Anolis sagrei: one gene and its partner. The protein of the gene in region 1 purifies or fractionates together with the protein of each later gene. This does not show direct contact. Links are inferred from orthologs where the notes say so. Each region holds a gene or a part of one and is shown in the gene's direction. Other genes may lie near its edges.

Region 1 (10,517 bases):
TAGTCTTTGGGTGGGAGACCGCCAATGAATCCTGAGGCCCTATTTGGGAGGAAGGCACTGGCAAAACCATCTCTGAGGATTCCTGACCTAATGTGCTTCTCATGTGAAGTCTGGCCAAAGTGGAATATAGTGGGACTATGACTTCCCTTATCTAGATATTATTCTCCTATGGACGCAGGCTGGAATCGCATTGGCTATTTTAGCTGCCGCTTCACATTCTTGGCTCATGTTCATCTTGGGGTCTGCTAAGACTCCTAGGTGCCTTTCACATGTTTTCAAATCTATTTTCGTGCATTTCATTTCTGACTTTTAAAAAGGAAGCAATCGCTTCCTTCTTTTCCAGCCTTAGGTGAAGTACATCATGGGGTGTTCAATCCCCTTTGGGACCGGCTATTAAAGGCCATCTTCTTTCAAAGTCTGAATAACCCCTTCTGGAAAGGAGAAAGAGCCATTTCCGCCAACATCAAGGTGAGGCTAGGTGCTCAACCTGTTGGATGAGAGCTTCTGGCAGGAAACGTATGGGATCAAGGTGTGAATTGCAACACGCCTTAGCTGCCGAGTCACGCATTTCACTCCAAGTTCCTTGAGTTTATCTGAAACGTGGCTTGTGGCCGTGCATTATTACATGTTGCGTTATGAGATGTTCCGCTTTGCCCGCTTCCCTGATTCTAGTCTTGTTATTATTTGCTTTTTAAACTACTCCATTGCAATGTCCCCAGGTGTGTACCCTTTGGCAGCAGTCGCTTGTGCCTTTTCAGGAACCAAATCTTGGTGCATCACTTGACACCACATTCCAGCCAAAGTATCCAAATATGTTGTTGTTGTTGCTGCATGCCTTAAATTCATTCCTAAGTTAAGCAGTTTTCTTGGTCAGATTGGTCCAGAGGTTTGCTGCTGCCTTCCTGAGGCTGAGAGTGTGTGACTCACCCAAAAGGGATCCATTGCTAAGCCGGGATTCAAATGCAGGCCTCCCCAGACTCTTAGCTCAAACTACTTCTTCTTCTTCTTCTTCTTCTTCTTCTTCTTCTTCTTCCTCTTCCTCTTCCTCTTCCTCTTCTTCTCCTTCTTCTCCTCAAGATTTCTTCAGGTGGGTTTTGTCATTGGTTCCTTTTGAGGCTGAGAGAGTGTGACTCACCCAATAGGGTTCCATTGCTTTGCCAGGATTCAAATGCAGGTCTCCTAGACTCATAGCTAAACTATTGTTGTTGTTGTTGTTCTCAAGATTTCTTCAGGTGGGTTTTGCCATTGCCTCCTTTTGAGGCTGAGGGAGTGTGACTCACCCAATAGGGTTCCATTGCTAAACCGGGATTAAAATGCAGGCCTCCCATTGACTCTTAGTTTAATGCTCAAAATTGTATTGTTGTTGTTGTCCTCGTTGTTGTCTTCATCTTGCTTTTTATCACAATTAAGTTGCCAAACTCCCGCTCCTGGCTCTCAAGATTGCTTTCCTCTGAGGTCGAAATACTTGGAAAGTTACTTCTCGAATTCAGGAACAGAAATTATCCTTAAGGCATTTTGCAAAAGCAAATTTAGTTCAGAGGCAGAATTCTCCCAACTCATGTTGAGTTAATTGTTTTTCCAGGAGAAGGAGTTTAAAACTCAGAAAAAGCAACTCGGGGTTTTGTTATTCAGGTCCCTTGAGGAATTCTAATGCAGAAGGAAGCCACTTTCTCAAGGGCCACTGTTTCCTTGGAACATTAAGTATTATTTGTTTAAGCACATTTGATCTCTAATGATGACAGACATCAAGCTGTAGGTTAATTGGTTAAGCAATATGCTGATGATGGACCGACTCAAGGGTGCTGATGATAGATCTCACAGTGGGACTTTCCTTGGTGTAGACATTTGCTCCTATGGATGTAGGAGAGTTATCACATTGGCTTTTTTAGCTGCCACATCACACTGTAGACTCCTGTTCAGCTCGTGGTCCACTAATACTTCTAGATCAGTTTCATATATATATATATATATATATATATATATATATATATGAGAGAATATATTTACCAAACACACGTGTGTGTATGTGTGTATTCAAGCCATACCCAATATTACTGCAACTAGATTCCTATTGTTACAATCTAGAATTGTAATGGCCTTTTTAGCTGCCGCATCACACTGTCTTGTTCAGCTTGTGGTCTACTAAGGCTCCTAGATTCTTTTCATATATATGCATACATACACACACACACATATAATTATTGTCAAGCCATAGCCAATATTACTTCTATTAATCTAGACACTACGCTCCAATTGATACAGCCTAGAATCGCATTGGTCTTTTTCCATGCTGCATCACACTTTTGACTCACCCCCCATCTAGTGGTCCACTAAGACTCCTAGATCTCTTTCATGCCTGCCTGCCTATCTATCTTATCCATTAATCCATCCATCCATTATAAAGCCACAATCCATATTACTTCCCTCAATATAGACACTAGACTCCTAGAATTGCATTGGCCTTTTTTTTTGCTGCCGCATCACACTGTTGGCTCTTCCTCAGTTTGTGCCCTCATAAAACTCCTAGATTCCTTACACATGTTTTGAAGCCAGGCACTCCACATCTTATATCTGTGCATTTTGTTTATTTCCACCTTGCATTTCTCCCTGTTGAAATCCATTCCCTTATTTAGAGCCAATTAGCTCTCTAATCTGTTACAAGGATCACTGTGGATCCTGATCCAAACCATATGGGTTATCCCTCCCCCATTGCGTCCTATCTGCACGTGGGAGCGACGCGCCTTCTCTCCCATTGTCCGAGTCACAGATAAAGATGTGGAACATGTCAAATGAGGTCCGGGCGGAAAGGCAACAGGTGTGACTGAGTTTTAATACAAACCTCCTAGTAATAAACAGGGCATTCAGCATTTCACACCTGTAATAAACTGGCGATCCCACCCACCTGCCGGATCAGGGCCAGATTTAGGGCGTGTTGGGGAAAAAAGTTTTATATAGAGTTTGCCTTGGATGCTTCGAGAGACGGAAGCAGAGAGGGAGCAGTTTGTTGCTTTGTGGAGGGCTCAAAGGCAAGGCTATCATTGCAAGGTTATCTGGGGCTGAGACCGTGCACCCTGCCCAAGGGCACTCATTAGGCTTCATGGCCAAAAGGGAGGATTCAAACCCTGGACTCCAGAGCTTTAATCTAACATTCAAAACACTGCGGCACCTTTGCTGGCAGGAAGTTGAAGGGGTGCTGCTTTTCATGAACAACTTGGTATAAGCAAGCAATTTGAGCACTGGAGGACTATTTTCTGAGATCTGGGTTCGCATCCTCACATAGAAACCCACTGGGCCCAAGCCATACTCTCTCAGCCTCAGAGGAAGGCAAAGGGCAAACCTCCTTTGTATAAATCTTGCCAAGAAAAACCAGTGACATGTTTGCTGTAGGGACACTGTAAGTTGGAGACATATACACTTATCAGCAAACTGGAAGGGTCCAAAAGTCCTTTTATCATACGATAAAATGGGTATTGATTATAAGATGCAATCTAGCCTTGTATGCATTTCTTTGTGTTCTGGGGGAGTCCGGAGAGAGGGCTGCGTAGATTTCTATCCAAGAAGGTTGCCAAGATTTTATTATGATGCTGAGAAGGTGCAACTTGCCCAAATTCAAGGCATTCGTTTTTTGGAAATCCTAATAGAAAGAATGCTGGAGGCTGAGAGAGTGTAACCTGTGGAGTTTCAATAGCCAAGTGAGGATTTGAACTTGTGTCTCCTAGAGGCCTAATTCACACAAACCACTGAGCCATTCCAGCTCTCCAAAATAATAGGGGCTGGACCACTCTCACAACCACCATGTCAGACTACACAGAGAAGCCATTGAAATCCACAAACATGTGGACAATTTCAACAGAAAGGAAGAAACCATGAAAATGAACACACTACCAGTATTAAAAAATTCTAAAATTGCAACAGCAAAAACAGCAGAGAGAAAAACAGGCAGGGACATCTAATCACCTTTCAAGAAGAGTTTTGCTCCAGGCACAGTCAGCCCATTGTATGCTAATCAAGGTGGTCAGCTGAAAGATTCACACCCAGCCCAACTTACAAAAGCCCTTTGTCTCACCCTGGTCATTCCACAGATATATAAACCCCCTTTTTCCCAGTCCCAGCAGACCTCACCTCTGAGGATGCTTGCCATAGATGCAGGCGAAACGTCAGGAGAAATGCCTCTAGAACATGGCCATATAGCCCGAAAAAACCCACAAGAACTGAGGATAATAGGGGTTCCTTATCTGGATCAATTCAGAAAGGGGTCTCCCTCTGAGGCTGAGAGGGTGTGGCTGTCCCCATGCCACCCAAAGGATTTCCATGGTTGAGCAGGGATTCGAACCCTGTTATTTCAAATTCCTGATATTATTGGCCTTTGACAAAGTGTTATAATGAATGCATTGAGTACGGAAACTGAATTGGACCAGAACTTGGAAGGTAAGCAATTTATTTCTCAGACAAAACAGGCCCAGCTTAACTACAAGGAGAATGTAACCATTGCCACTGCATTTTCAGTCTTGGCCTGCTTTGAATGCAATCAGGAAAAGCACTGCATTCTGTATCATTGCAAGCACTGCTTCATATGCAGTCAGAAGAAACGCTGCATTATGTAACATTGCAAGCATTGTTTTTTAGGCAGTCAGAAGAAGCACTGCATTATGTATCATTGCAACCACTGCTTTGGATGCAGTCAGGAGAGCCTGGTATTCTGTATCCTTACAACCACTGCTTTGATTGCAGTCAGGAGAAGCCACTGCAAACATGCATCCTTGCAATGATGTATCCTTACAACCATTGTTTTGGATGCAGTCAGGCGAAGCCAATGCATTAATGCAGCGGTTCTCAACCTGGGGGTCGCGACTCCCCAGGGGGTCGTTTGGCCATTTCGGAGGGGTCGCGAGGCCGCCTCCTTCGGCCCCGCCCACAAGGCTGCGAGTCCTCCCTGGGCTCCTTGGCGTCCTCGCCAAATGGCGAGGCCGCGAGGCGGCCGGGGGCTCCTTTGCACGAGCCCTCCCTGGGCTCCCCAGCGGGCTCGCCAAATGGCGAGGCCGCCAAGGAGCCCAGGGAGGGCTTGTGCAGAGGCTGCCTCGGCTCCCTCGCAGCTTCGCCAAATGGCGAGGCCGCGAGGCAGCCGGGGGCTCCTTTGCACGAGCCCTCTCTGGGCTCCTTGGCGCCCGTGGGGGAGTCCAGGGAGGGCTTGTGTGGAGGCTGCCTCAGCTCCCTCGCGGCTTCACCAAATGGCGAGGCCGCGAGGCAGCCGGGGGCTCCTTCACACGAGCCCTCCCTTGATTGTGGGCTGGATTCAGAGTGTACTTTGATTGTAGGTGAACTATAAATCCCAGCAAATGCAACTTCCAAATGTCAAGTCAATGTTCCCCAAACTCCACCAGTGTTCACATTTGGGCATATTGAGTATTCGTGTCAAGTTTGGTCCAGATCCATCATTGTTTGAGTCCACAGTGCTTTTGGAGGTAGGTGAACTACAATTCCAAAACTCAAGGTCCATGCCTGCCAAATCTTTCCAGTATTTTCTGTTGGTCATGGGAGTTCTGTGTGCCACATTTGGTTCGATTTCATCGTTGATGGAGTTCAGAATGCTCTTTGATTGTAGGTGAACTATAAATCCTAGCAACTACAACTCCCAAGTGTCAAGGTCTAATTTCCCCAAAATCTACCAGTGTTCACATTTGGGCAGATTGAGTATTCTTGCCAGGTTTGGTCCAGATCCATCATTGTTTGAGTCCACAGTGCTACAGCTCCAAAACTCAAGGTCAATGTCCACCAAACCCTTCCAGTATTTTCTGTTGGTCAAGGGATATCTGTGTGCCAAGTTTGTTTCAATTACATCGTTGGTGGAGTTCAGAATGCTCTTTGATTGTAGGTTAACGATAAATCCCAACAACGATACTGCTGAGTTGCTGAGCTTGTTGATCAAAAGAGCGCAGGTTCAAATCCAGGAAGTGGCATTAGCTTCCGCTGTCAGCCCCAGCTTCTGCCAACTTAGCAGTTCAAAAACATGCAAATGTGAGTAGATCAATAGGTACTGCTCTGGTGGGAAGGTAACGATGCTCCCTGCAGTTATGCTGGCTACATGACCTTGGAGGTCTCTACGGACAACGCTGGCTCTTTGGCTTAGAAATGGAGATGAGCACCACACCCAAGTCAGACATGACTGGACATAATGTCAGGGGAAAACCTTTACCTACAACACCAAATGACAAAACCAACTCCCCCCCCCCAACCCCACCAGTATTCAAATTTGGGTGTATCAGGTAATTGTGCCAAATTTGGTTGGGGGGTCACCACAACATGAGGAACTGCATTAAGGGGTCACGGCATTAGGAAGGTTGAGAACCACTGCATTAATGTATCCTTGCAACCATTGTTTCGGATACAGTCAGGAGAAGCCACTGCAAACGTGCATCCTTGCAACGATGTACCCTTACAACCATTGTTTCGGATACAATCAGGTGAAGCCACTGCAATCATATATCATTGCAACCATTGCTTCGGATCACTGCAAACATTGCCAAAGTCCTGGCCTGCTTCAGATGCAGTCAAAGCCATAGAAAACACAATTTAGCTGGCCTTGGATCAGTGCCGCAAAACTCTCCAAAACAAAGGTGCTCCTGTTGAGAGGTGCTATCTTGAATGGACACCCAACCAAATGAGCCCTGTCTCATCCAACCCGTTCCCCGGCATTCCTCTTTGGGATGTTTGCGTTTGGAAAGAGGATGGAGTGCTTGGCTAACCGGAGGGTAATTACACAGCTGCTCCATTTCTCCTCCCTTCCGGCCAAACTCCTATCTCTTCCTGCCCCTTTGAGATGGGATAAACCCTCACTCCGGACCTGGGCTCCAAGTCAGCAAGATCTTAGGAATAGATCATGACCCTTCCTTGGACATCAGAGGAGCCAAGAGGCCGATGAAGTGAACAGAGACTCCGGGAAAGAGGTACCAGTTCTATCTGATCCTGGTCCACACAGGTAGGGAAATCATTTCTTCCTAATGTTCAGATGGAATCCCTTTTTCTGCAATTTGAATCCAATACTCTGTTGTGTCCCAGTCTCTGGAGCAGCAGAAAACAAGCCTTGCCCCTTCCTCAACAGGGCATCCTTCCAAATATTTCAACATGACTCTCATATTCTTCTATCCGCCTTCTCCAAGCTAAACATCCTCAGCAATTTAAGCTGTTCCTCATAAGCCTTGGCCATTTTGGTCCTCCTTCCCGCTTGTCCATCTCTTTCTTGAATTGCTTTGCTCAGAACTGGATACAGGGTTATTATTCCAGGTGAGATCCAACCAAGGCAGAAAAGAGTGGGACTCTACACCGCCATTGATGCAGTTTAGGATCACATTGGCCTTGTTAGCATACATCACAAACATAACTATTATCAAGACATAGCCAAGATTACTTCTATCAATTTAGACACTAGACTCCTATTGTTGCAGCCTAGGATCGTATTGGCCTATTTTGCTGCTGCATCACACTGTAGTCTCTCATTCAGTTTCCAGTCTGCTAAGACTCTAGATCATTTTCTCAGACTTAGATATAGTCAATCCATGGTCAATATAACTTCCCTCTGTTTAAACGCTAGACTCCTATTGAAGTAGTCTAGGATCACATTGGCCTTGTTAGCTGCCACATCACACTCTTGTATTATTATTATTATTATTATTATTATCATTATTATTACTACTACTACTACTACTACTACTATTATTAGATACACAAAAAGACTAGTACACAGCAAACAAGATCACTATGCTGGCTTTTGTATTGGATCACACGTCGGACACCACAAGTTTCTAGGACTGTGTGATGTATTGGTTAATAATGCGTGCAGATCCAAGAAGGGGGCCTTTTGCAGCTGACAGGTGGTGGTATTATTATTATTACTATTACTCCTCAATCCCTTTAACTCCTCTATCTGTACACTTCATTGTTATTGCCTACTGAAATTCCGTTTTGTTAGTTCTGGACAATCAGCTCTCTAATCTGTTGAGGTCATTTTGGATCCTGGTCCCATCCTCTAGGTCAGGGGTCCACAAACTTTTTAAACAGAGGGCCAGGTCACAGTCTCTTAAACTGTTGGAGGGCCAGATTATAATTTGAAAAAAAACATGAATGAATTCCTATGCCCACTGCACATGTTATTTGTAGTGCAAAAAAAACCCCCACTTAAAAACAATACAATAATCAAAATGAAGAACTATGTTAACAAATATAAACTTATTAGTATTTCAATGGGAAGTGTGGGCCTGTTTTTGGCTGATCAGATAGGATTGTTGTTATTGTTGTGTGCTTTTAAGTCATTTCAGACTTAGGTTGACCCTGAGCGAGGGCTGGGTGAATGACCTTGGAGGGCCGTATCCGGCCCCTGGGCCTTAGTTTGAGGACCCCTGCTCTAGGTATTTGCTGTCCCTCCCAAATTTGGATCAGCCTGCCTTCTAGTCTGTCATCCAAGCCACTGATAAAGCTTCTGAATAGCCCTTAAAGGCCCAAGACAAGACCCCAAAAGTCACTTCTCTCCAGGAAGAAGGGGGAAGCCATTGGATAGAAATAGCGGGTGAACTAGTTCCCAATCCACCTAACAGTAGCTTTGCTTGTTGCATCATCCCAACTTTCATGCATTTTCCAAGCTTAAAACTATTCCGAAACAGATAAAAAAAGACAGAGGACCAAACAGACATTATGGGATCGGATGGAGAAACTAGCTTCCAGTTGTTTTTGAGCATATGGATGGGTTGGACTATAACTCCCAGAACCCCATTTTGGCCATACTGGATGGGGGATTCTGGGATTTGTAGTCACCCTGTTCCGAATCCAATTTGTAGGTCCAAAACTAGAACCAACCCATCTGGTCAATAGGAAGTAATTAATTTAATTTCTGGATCCATGATATTAAGGACTCAGGCATTGGAGTCATGTAGCCCATCTTCCCAAGGCAGGCATGGCTGTGGATGATGGGACTTTGTATCCCCCAAAACAAGGAGACTCGAAGTGAAACCAAATGGGAAACACATCACTTGGAAGCTGTCCTTTGGCTGCCAAATAGCTGTCATTGTGGGGCAAATGCTCTCTAGCAAGGGAATGGCACATGAATAAACCGCATCATTTAGAAAAAATGTGGACGTTTATAGCGGCCCAAGGAGTGGTCAATTGCCACCTACCTCCACATTCTTTCATCAGGAATGCATGAATGGGGCCAATTTGCATGGGTTGGAGCACCAAGTGGAGGCAAATCAGGCTGGATGAGCAAGCCTTTAGAAAGGCTGCTCAGAATCGAGGCCCGTAATTAGAGGAAGGTATTTCTCTCATTAAAGGCTGATATCACCAACACGTGGGGGCCATGACATCACACCTTTAACCACACTTGCACATTGAGGCCTTGTTTGTCTCCTTTGGGGAGCCATTGCAAAACAAAGGCAAAATACGGAGCTTAGGAAAAGCATGTACAGAGGCTGTCAGGGTTGTTTTTGTGTCTCTGACTTGGTCCAAGGTACAAGTGGATTCATGGTGTGTATAGGTGGGATACAAATTAATATCGTCATCATGCAGTGAAACCAATGTGATTAAGGCAGTATAATATCTTACTATTTTCTTAATTTATAGAAAGCTAGTTGGTCTCACCTTGTAGACTCAGTTGATGCTGAAAAGGAGGAGGGTGGGATATACAATTCTATATTTATATTCATTGTATATCGACTTTTAAGTTTCTCAAGTCAGGAGCAACCTGAGAAACTGCAAGTCGATATACAATGAATAAAGTAATATCTTTTACTGCCCTATTAGCATTGTTTTTATTACTGAGTTGTTTTATGCATTTCTCCCAATCACAGGACTCAAAAGTGGCTAACCATCCTACAAACTGGAACCAATGCAAAACCAGAATATATATATTTCTTCCTCCCCTTTTTTCTTCTTCTTCCTCCTGTTCTCCTCTTTCCTCCTTTTCCTTATTGCAGTCTACCATTAGTTGTGGACTGTCAGTTATTTGGATTTTGTCCAAAACAATGAGAATCGGTAGACAATGTGGTATGTGTTCCAAGCTGCCTCCTGTTTTGCAATTGCTATGTTTTGACTTGGGATTCAACCAGGCAGATTTGTTCAAAGGGCTTTTGCTTTTGCCTCCCTTGGAGGCTGAGAGAGTGCAACTTGCGCAAAGCTGCTCTTCCATGGTTAAGCAGGGATTCGAACCCGGGAGTCTTCAAAACTCAAACCACTATACTGCTCTGCTTCATCTTGTTCTCTATTTCTTTTAGGACTGCTGTTTGGTTGCAATCTGCAGGTTGTGATGCCAAAGGGGGCAAAGGAATAGAGGGACTATTGTTTCTCCCACTCTGTTTCCATGCAGCCAAAAAGCTTCCTCATGGCTCCTTCACCTCTTCTGCTGTTTTGCCTTGCAGGCCGACTCTCAAGATGGAGCAGAAGACGGTGAAGCATGTAACCATCCCAATGACTGACATTGCCCCCCGTCCGGAGCCATATGTGCCGGAATATTCCCAGCCCTACGAACCCAAGCC
Region 2 (9,722 bases), on another chromosome or scaffold:
CTTGAGCGGTGATGGCACGATCATCAGCATAGATGAAGCTCTCTGTCCCTTCTGGCAGTGGCTGGTCATTTGTGTAGATGTTGAGCATGGATGGAGCAAGCACGCTCCTCTGAGGCAACAGTGAGGTCTGTTGGAACTAGGAAAAGGGGTTTATATATCTGTGGAATAATGACCAGGGTGGGACAAAGGACTCTTGTCTGCTGGAGCTAGGTGTGAATGTTTCAACTGACCTCCTTGATTAGCATTTGATGGCCTGGCAGTGCCTGGAGCAATCTTTTGTTGAGCGGTAGAAGTCAGGTACTTTGCAAAACGACACTGGCATTGTCTTGCTGGGCAAAAATATATTGTGTGTATCTTCCTTTTGGGAACAGAGCAAAATGAGGCTGAGCAAAGGCCCGCTTTCTGTCTTGTGTTTTCAGGAATGGATGGTGCTGTTAAATACTGTTTTCCAAAGTGGTTCCAGTCCCCTTGAGAGGGTGTGAAATGCTGGTTTGGATGCAAACGGACCAAAAATGTCCCGAAGGTTAAACAAATACCAGGCTGGGAATAGGCAGGCATGCGATTGGCCCAAAGCATGAAGGGTGCAGTGTTCTCGCCTAGATCCGTGCTTCTGAGGCTGGATTCAGAAATGGGCAGGACTGTTTGCTTGTGGGGAAGGAAGGGCCCCGGCCAGAGCACAACATAGAGCCTTGTTGCCATTTCCAAGGGGGCCATAAACGCCGGGCGAGCAAAGAGAGGAGTGGCTGGAAGATGGCAGCAGCCCTGAAATGCAGCCAAGCGGTCCTCTGGCACTTGCTCTGGGCTGGTTCGTCATATCAGCTTTGCAGGGCAAATGGACTCTGAGCAAAGCGGAAAGGCTTGGTCTTGCGAGTGCTGTCAGTGGGGAATGGCGCATTGCTTTGGGCCCAGGGTGTAATGTTTGCCCCCCAAGCAGCACGCTTTCTCTACCAGCGTCTGGAAGCATTCTTTTGCCCTTGACGTGGAAAGGATCTGTCAACATGCTCAGGTGCTTCATTCATAGAATCCTAGAATCCTAGACTTGGAAGAGACTGTTGCAACCCAGAGCAGGAAACGAGGCCCTCAGATAACTCTCCACCACACTTGGCTGTGAAAAACAATCCTTTTTTATTGAAGAAAAATGGTTACAAAATAAAGGAAAAATGCAAGTCAAAAGCCACAGCAAAATCAGCAAACATGAATTTAAATGGACAAAGCAAAACCAAAAGCCTCACTAGGAACTGCTGGAATCTGTTAGCAATCCACTAACCGTACTTGATATCCTAGAAATCTTTCCATACTATGACCAGGGAACCGGGAGAACTGCCAAGGTCTTCATCAATTCTGAAACGATGCCTGAACTGAGGCAATCAGCCTGGCGTATTGCAATTAAAACTCAAGAATCGGTTCCGTGAACCGCCCTTCTGTTTTGAAGCTAATGTTTTTAATTCTTGAATTCGGGAGGATCGGCGCAAACTGAGTGATTTACTTCTGTCTTCCCAAATTTGGTTCCTCCTGTTGTCATTACAGTTAACAGGTGCAGAAGGGAGGGAAAGTTCAAGGTCTCCCTCTGAAACATTCTCATGAACACTGGGACTTTCATTTCCCAAATCTACAGAAGTCCCTTCCTCACTAATTTCAGGAACATTGGCATTTTCCAAACCTACAGCAGATTCTTCCTCACTAATTTCAGGAGCATTGGCATCAAAAGGTACATTTCCATTAGCATCAGTAAATATATTTTCATTAGCAACAGGAGGAACAGAGAATCAGGTTCAAGTTCAAACTCAGGCTGAACCCCAACAGAGACCTCCTTGGGCCATCCAGTCCAACCCCATTCTGCCAAGAAGCAGTAATATTGCATTCAAATCACCCCTGACAGATGGCCATCCAGACTCCGTTTAAAAGCTTCCAAAGAGGGAGCCTCCACCACACTCCGGGGCAGAGAGTTCCACTGCTGAACGGCTCTCACAGTCAGGAAGTTCTTCCTCATATTCAGATGGAATCTCCTTTCTTGTAGTTTGAGGTGAAAAGCAACACATGCTGAGGTGCTGTCAGAAGTGACCCAGAGATTGAATCTGTCCAAAATGTGGTCATGACATGACATTCTGGCTTTTATTTTCGGGGTCTCCCTTGCTTGCAATCCGTTGCATTTGCCCTCCTCCCTGCAAAAAAAACCAAAACAAACCCGCAGCGTTTTCCCTCTTTAAATTGAACACAGTAAGTGCTTTCATAACGCTCTCCTGACCGACCGAGAGGGTCCTCGCTCTTTCGTTTGCGCAGCCTTACCCGATTAATCTTTCAAAATTGAGCCTTGGATCTGATAATGAGGTGGGACTCCATTCCTCCTGACTTCCTGTAACTCTAAACCGCTGGGTAAAAATATGAGCGGCCGTTCGTTCCTCTGTTCGTTTGCTCGGAGCTAAAGAAAGCTCAGCCTGCGTTCGGCTGGAGGAGTCTCTCCGAAGAAGAGCGGGCCTGGAGTTAATTCGCTGGAGTGAGTCGGCAAAGGATTGAGTGCAGACGAGAGGGCTTTCAAGGGTGCCTTCCAGGGAAGAAGCCCGCTCTCAAGGGTGCCTTCCGGGGAAGAAGCCCGCTCTCAAGGGTGCCTTCCGGGAAAGAAGCCCGCTCTCTTTGGGTGCCTTCCGGGGAAGAAACCCGCTCTTCTCTCAAGGGTGCCTTCCGGGAAAGAAGCCCGCTCTCAAAGGTGCCTTCCGGGGAAGAAGCCCGCTCTCAAGGGTGCCTTCCGGAGAAGAAGTCCGTTCTCAAAGGTGCCCTCCGGAGAAGAAGCCCGCTCTCAAGGGTGCCCTCCGGAGAAGAAGCCCGCTCTCAAGGGTGCCCTCCGGGAAAGAAGCCCGCTCTCAAAGGTGCCCTCCGGGAAAGAAGCCCGCTCTCAAGGGTGCCCTCCGGAGAAGAAGCCCGCTCTCAAGGGTGCCCTCCGGGAAAGAAGCCCGCTCTCAAAGGTGCCCTCCGGGAAAGAAGCCCGCTCTCGAGGGTGCCCTCCGGAGAAGAAGCCCGCTCTCAAGGGTGCCTTCCGGGAAAGAAGTCCGTTCTCAAGGGTGCCTTCCGGGAAAGAAGCCCGCTCTCAAAGGTGCCTTCCGGGGAAGAAGCCCGCTCTCAAAGGTGCCTTCCGGGGAAGAAGTCCGCTCTCAAGAGAGCCTTCCGGGAAAGAAGCCCGCTCTTCTCTCAAGGGAGCCTTCCGGGGAAGAAGCCCGCTTTCAAGGGTGCCCTCCGGAGAAGAAGCCCGCTCTCAAGGGTGCCCTCCGGAGAAGAAGCCCGCTCTCAAGGGTGCCCTCCGGGAAAGAAGCCCGCTCTCAAAGGTGCCCTCCGGGAAAGAAGCCCGCTCTCGAGGGTGCCCTCCGGAGAAGAAGCCCGCTCTCAAGGGTGCCTTCCGGGAAAGAAGTCCGTTCTCAAGGGTGCCTTCCGGGAAAGAAGCCCGCTCTCAAAGGTGCCTTCCGGGGAAGAAGCCCGCTCTCAAAGGTGCCTTCCGGGGAAGAAGTCCGCTCTCAAGAGAGCCTTCCGGGAAAGAAGCCCGCTCTTCTCTCAAGGGAGCCTTCCGGGGAAGAAGCCCGCTTTCAAGGGTGCCCTCCGGAGAAGAAGCCCGCTCTCAAGGGTGCCCTCCGGAGAAGAAGCCCGCTCTCAAGGGTGCCCTCCGGGAAAGAAGCCCGCTCTCAAAGGTGCCCTCCGGGAAAGAAGCCCGCTCTCGAGGGTGCCCTCCGGAGAAGAAGCCCGCTCTCAAGGGTGCCTTCCGGGAAAGAAGTCCGTTCTCAAGGGTGCCTTCCGGGAAAGAAGCCCGCTCTCAAAGGTGCCTTCCGGGGAAGAAGCCCGCTCTCAAAGGTGCCTTCCGGGGAAGAAGTCCGCTCTCAAGAGAGCCTTCCGGGAAAGAAGCCCGCTCTTCTCTCAAGGGAGCCTTCCGGGGAAGAAGCCCGCTTTCAAGGGTGCCCTCCGGAGAAGAAGCCCGCTCTCAAGGGTGCCCTCCGGAGAAGAAGCCCGCTCTCAAGGGTGCCCTCCGGGAAAGAAGCCCGCTCTCAAAGGTGCCCTCCGGGAAAGAAGCCCGCTCTCGAGGGTGCCCTCCGGAGAAGAAGCCCGCTCTCAAGGGTGCCTTCCGGGAAAGAAGTCCGTTCTCAAGGGTGCCTTCCGGGAAAGAAGCCCGCTCTCAAAGGTGCCTTCCGGGGAAGAAGCCCGCTCTCAAAGGTGCCTTCCGGGGAAGAAGTCCGCTCTCAAGAGAGCCTTCCGGGAAAGAAGCCCGCTCTTCTCTCAAGGGAGCCTTCCGGGGAAGAAGCCCGCTTTCAAGGGTGCCCTCCGGAGAAGAAGCCCGCTCTCAAGGGTGCCCTCCGGGAAAGAAGCCCGCTCTCAAAGGTGCCCTCCGGGAAAGAAGCCCGCTCTCAAGGGTGCCCTCCGGAGAAGAAGCCCGCTCTCAAGGGTGCCCTCCGGGAAAGAAGCCCGCTCTCAAAGGTGCCCTCCGGGAAAGAAGCCCGCTCTCAAGGGTGCCCTCCGGAGAAGAAGCCCGCTCTCAAGGGTGCCTTCCGGGAAAGAAGTCCGTTCTCAAGGGTGCCTTCCGGGAAAGAAGCCCGCTCTCAAAGGTGCCTTCCGGGGAAGAAGCCCGCTCTCAAAGGTGCCTTCCGGGGAAGAAGTCCGCTCTCAAGAGAGCCTTCCGGGAAAGAAGCCCGCTCTTCTCTCAAGGGAGCCTTCCGGGGAAGAAGCCCGCTTTCAAGGGTGCCCTCCGGGGAAGAAGCCCGCTCTCAAGGGAGCCTTCCGGGGAAGAAGCCCGCTCTCAAGGGTGCCTTCCAGGAAAGAAGCCCACTCTCAAGGGTGCCTTCCGGGAAAGAAGCCCGCTCTCAGGGGTGCCTTCCGGGGAAGAAGTCCGCTCTCAAGAGAGCCTTCCGGGAAAGCAGCCCGCTCTTCTCTCAAGGGTGCCTTCCGGGGAAGAAGCCCTCTCTCAAGGGTGCCCTCCGGGGAAGAAGCCCGCTCTCAAAGGTGCCTTCCGGGGAAGAAGTCCGCTCTCAAGAGAGCCTTCCGGGAAAGAAGCCCGCTCTTCTCTCAAGGGAGCCTTCCGGGGAAGAAGCCCGCTTTCAAGGGTGCCCTCCGGAGAAGAAGCCCGCTCTCAAGGGTGCCCTCCGGGAAAGAAGCCCGCTCTCAAAGGTGCCCTCCGGGAAAGAAGCCCGCTCTCAAGGGTGCCCTCCGGAGAAGAAGCCCGCTCTCAAGGGTGCCCTCCGGGAAAGAAGCCCGCTCTCAAAGGTGCCCTCCGGGAAAGAAGCCCGCTCTCAAGGGTGCCCTCCGGAGAAGAAGCCCGCTCTCAAGGGTGCCTTCCGGGAAAGAAGTCCGTTCTCAAGGGTGCCTTCCGGGAAAGAAGCCCGCTCTCAAAGGTGCCTTCCGGGGAAGAAGCCCGCTCTCAAAGGTGCCTTCCGGGGAAGAAGTCCGCTCTCAAGAGAGCCTTCCGGGAAAGAAGCCCGCTCTTCTCTCAAGGGAGCCTTCCGGGGAAGAAGCCCGCTTTCAAGGGTGCCCTCCGGGGAAGAAGCCCGCTCTCAAGGGAGCCTTCCGGGGAAGAAGCCCGCTCTCAAGACTGCCTTCCGGGGAAGAAGCCCGCTCTCAAGGGTGCCTTCCAGGAAAGAAGCCCACTCTCAAGGGTGCCTTCCGGGAAAGAAGCCCGCTCTCAGGGGTGCCTTCCGGGGAAGAAGTCCGCTCTCAAGAGAGCCTTCCGGGAAAGCAGCCCGCTCTTCTCTCAAGGGTGCCTTCCGGGGAAGAAGCCCTCTCTCAAGGGTGCCCTCCGGGGAAGAAGCCCGCTCTCAAAGGTGCCTTCCGGGGAAGAAGTCCGCTCTCAAGGGTGCCCTCCGCCGAAGAAGCCCACTCGGGGACCGTGGCCGGAGAAGGGCTGGGAGGTCCACCTTAACTTTGTCTGTTTCCTCAGAGTCTACCGGCGACCGTTTTCAACCTTCACTACTCACCTCTCCAAGGTTTGTGGAGATGCGGAGCCATGGCGAGGAGGCAGCTGAGACTCCACTTGGCCCCCCGAAGAAGTCTCGTTGACCCGTTCCCTGAGGCGCTCCGAGATCCTTTCGGCCAAGAGGCCAGCCGTGTGTTTGACGGGAAGCCAGACGCGGGCGGCGTTTCCGGGAAGGAGTGGAGTCGTACCCAAACCCTCCTGGGTTGCGCGGCCCCCGAGCCCCTTCCGTCCCAGAAGCCCAAGAGGAGCGCCTTGCTGAGGATCTCCTTGCAGAGCACCCAAGGTGGCAGAGAGGACTCCCCACCGGCGCCTTTTGGTGACCACTTCCCCAGGAGAGAAGGAGAGCGACCTGGGCGGCCCCTTCACCGGTCAGCAGCCGGCAGCGGTCTGATCGACGTCCCAGATGTCAATTGCGTCGAGAGAGGGGCTGCTGACAGCGCGGGGAGTGACTGCGGCTCGTGCGTGAGCACCACCAGCGATGGAGGGTCCTGCAGTGGCGGCAGCAGCAGCGTCATCAGCGAGAGTGGCAGCACCTGCGCCTTCTCCACCGGGGACGCAGCCACGTTTGCCGGCGGTCAGTCTGATCCTGGAGCGACCGCTTGGGCACCCAGAGTGGCCTTGGACAATCTCTCTGTGGGGCGGGTGTCCAAGTTGCCGTCAGCGGAAGGGCGCAGGCGTCCCTTGCAGCGGTGCTCCTCGCTGGTCATCTTCCCCCGGAGTCCGTGCAGTACCCCTCCGCTGTCCCCCTCCTCGCTGCCTCCGGAGGGAGAGGTCAAGGGGGCCTCCACGGGGTCGCTCCTCACCATCCTGAATGGCTTCCGGCTCTCCCCCAGCGCCGCCCCACCCAACGGAAGTCGGGACGTCCGACCGCTCTGCCCAAAGAGCGCTTTGTGGGGGAGGCGCTGGACCTCGCCCGAGGAAGACGCCCCAAACCAAGGGCGCTGCACCCCGCTCCACTTCTCCCCGGATCCGCCTGACCCCACTTCTCCCCGGACCTGCTCACATTTGCAGCTCCCAAACGAGGAAGATCACTCTCCTGCAATCCCTGCAAGGAGGATCCGGGGCCCCCACGGGCTCCACAGGAGCGTCTCCTTGGGGGGCCCCCCGGCACCCCGTTTGCCCGCTTTCCAGTCCCACCCTGGGGCAGGAGCCTCCCACCTGCAGATCCAGTTTGGTCCTGAAAATCAAGCGCCCTCCCACCTGGCACTGGGGACATCTCCAGAGGTGAGTTGCTGTCCCTTTCAGGTGGAACCAGGTGGACTTAGTCCAGAGCGGTGGTTCTCAACCTGTGGGTCCCCAGATGTTTGGGCCTTCAACTCCCAAAAAGCCTAACAGCTATTGTATTGTCGAAGGCTTTCATGGCTGGAATCACTAGGTTCTTGTGGGTTTTTCCGGGCTATATGGCCATGTTCTAGAGGCATTTCTCCTGACGTTTCGCCTGCATCTATGGCAAGCATCCTCAGAGGTTGTGAGGTCTGTTGGAATTAGGACAATGGGTTTATATATCTGTGGAATGACCAGGGTGGGACAAAGGACTCTTGTCTGTTGGAACTAGGTGTGAATGGGTTGTTGTAGGTTTTTTCGGGCTATAGGGCCATGTTCTAGAAGCATTTCTCCTGACGTTTCGCCTGCATCTATGGCAAGCATCCTCAGAGGTGGTGACGTCTGTTGGAATTAGGACAATGGGTTTATATATCTGTGGAATGACCAGGGTGGGACAAAGGACTCTTGTCTGTTGGAACTAGGTGTGAATGGGTTGTTGTAGGTTTTTTCGGGCTGTGTGGCCATGTTCTAGAGGCATTCTCTCCTGACGTTTCGCCTGCACATATGGCAAGCATCCTCAGAGGTGGTGAAGTCTGTTGGAATTAAGACAATGGGTTTATATATCTGTGGAATGACCAGGGTGGGACAAAGGACTCTTGTCTGTTGGAACTAGGTGTGAATGGGTTGTTGTAGGTTTTTTCGGGCTATAGGGCCATGTTCTAGAAGCATTTCTCCTGACGTTTCGCCTGCATCTATGGCAAGCATCCTCAGAGGTGGTGAGGTCTGTTGGAATTAGGACAATGGGTTTATATATCTGTGGAATGACCAGGGTGGGACAAAGGACTCTTGTCTGTTGGAACTAGGTGTGAATGGGTTGTTGTAGGTTTTTTCGGGCTCTGTGGCCATGTTCTAGAGGCATTCTCTCCTGACGTTTCGCCTGCATCTATGGCAAGCATCCTCAGAGGTGGTGAGGTCTGTTGGAATTAGGACAATGGGTTTATATATCTGTGGAATGACCAGGGTGGGACAAAGGACTCTTGTCTGTTGGAACTAGGTGTGAATGGGTTGTTGTAGGTTTTTTCGGGCTCTGTGGCCATGTTCTAGAGGCATTCTCTCCTGACGTTTCGCCTGCACATATGGCAAGCATCCTCAGAGGTGGTGAAGTCTGTTGGAATTAAGACAATGGGTTTATATATCTGTGGAATGACCAGGGTGGGACAAAGGACTCTTGTCTGTTGGAACTAGGTGTGAATGGGTTGTTGTAGGTTTTTTCGGGCTATAGGGCCATGTTCTAGAAGCATTTCTCCTGACGTTTCGCCTGCATCTATGGCAAGCATCCTCAGAGGTGGTGAGGTCTGTTGGAATTAGGACAATGGGTTTATATATCTGTGGAATGACCAGGGTGGGACAAAGGACTCTTGTCTGTTGGAACTAGGTGTGAATGGGTTGTTGTAGGTTTTTTCGGGCTCTGTGGCCATGTTCTAGAGGCATTCTCTCCTGACGTTTCGCCTGCATCTATGGCAAGCATCCTCAGAGGTAGTGAGGTCTGTTGGAATTAGGACAATGGGTTTATATATCTGTGGAATGACCAGGGTGGGACAAAGGACTCTTGTCTGTTGGAACTAGGTGTGAATGGGTTGTTGTAGGTTTTTTCGGGCTATAGGGCCATGTTCTAGAAGCATTTCTCCTGACGTTTCGCCTGCATCTATGGCAAGCATCCTCAGAGGTGGTGAGGTCTGTTGGAATTAGGACAATGGGTTTATATATCTGTGGAATGACCAGGGTGGGACAAAGGACTCTTGTCTGTTGGAACTAGGTGTGAATGGGTTGTTGTAGGTTTTTTCGGGCTCTGTGGCCATGTTCTAGAGGCATTCTCTCCTGACGTTTCGCCTGCATCTATGGCAAGCATCCTCAGAGGTAGTGAGGTCTGTTGGAATTAGGACAATGGGTTTATATATCTGTGGAATGACCAGGGTGGGACAAAGGACTCTTGTCTGTTGGAACTAGGTGTGAATGGGTTGTTGTAGGTTTTTTCAGGCTCTGTGGCCATGTTCTAGAAGCATTTCTCCTGACGTTTCGCCTGCATCTATGGCAAGCATCCTCAGAGGTAGTGAGGTCTGGGGATGCTTGCCATAGATGCAGGCGAAACGTCAGAAGAAATGCCTCTGGAACATGGCCATAAAAGGGTAAATGTAAAGGTAAAGGTAGTCCCCTGATATTAAGTCCAGTCATGTCTGACTCTGGGGTGTGGTGCTCATCTCCATTTCTAAGCCAAAGAGCCAGCGTTGTCTGTAGACACCTCCAAGGTCATGTGGCTGGCATGACTGCATGAAGCGCCGTTACCTTCCCGCCGGAGCGGTACCTATTGATCTACTCACATTTGCATGTTTTCGAACTGCTAGGTTGGCAGAAGCCATATAGCCATATAGCCCGAAAAAACCCACAAGAACTGACTAACAGCTATTTATTTGTCGTGTCAGGACAACCACTCAAATTATATTACATTTCTAACAGAACA

What was found.
Region 2: the proteins of lipopolysaccharide-induced tumor necrosis factor-alpha factor-like (region 1) and NEDD4 purify together in Homo sapiens (co-immunoprecipitation; 4 studies listed by BioGRID and IntAct, counting the BioPlex papers as one, with this or other methods). This does not show direct contact. The link is inferred for Anolis sagrei from reciprocal best matches to the Homo sapiens genes LITAF and NEDD4.

What each region holds. Positions count from the first base shown.
Region 1 is NC_090034.1:20,485,685-20,496,201, reverse strand, and holds the start of lipopolysaccharide-induced tumor necrosis factor-alpha factor-like, read left to right. Parts: upstream 1-6,772; 5' UTR 6,773-6,944; exon of another isoform or gene 6,945-6,976; intron 6,977-8,163; exon of another isoform or gene 8,164-10,400; 5' UTR 10,401-10,413; coding exon 10,414-10,517.
Region 2 is NC_090029.1:1,439,150-1,448,871, forward strand, and holds the start of NEDD4 (E3 ubiquitin-protein ligase NEDD4), read left to right. Parts: upstream 1-5,902; 5' UTR 5,903-5,971; coding exon 5,972-7,165; intron 7,166-9,722. UniProt on the Homo sapiens protein: E3 ubiquitin-protein ligase which accepts ubiquitin from an E2 ubiquitin-conjugating enzyme in the form of a thioester and then directly transfers the ubiquitin to targeted substrates. Specifically ubiquitinates 'Lys-63' in target proteins.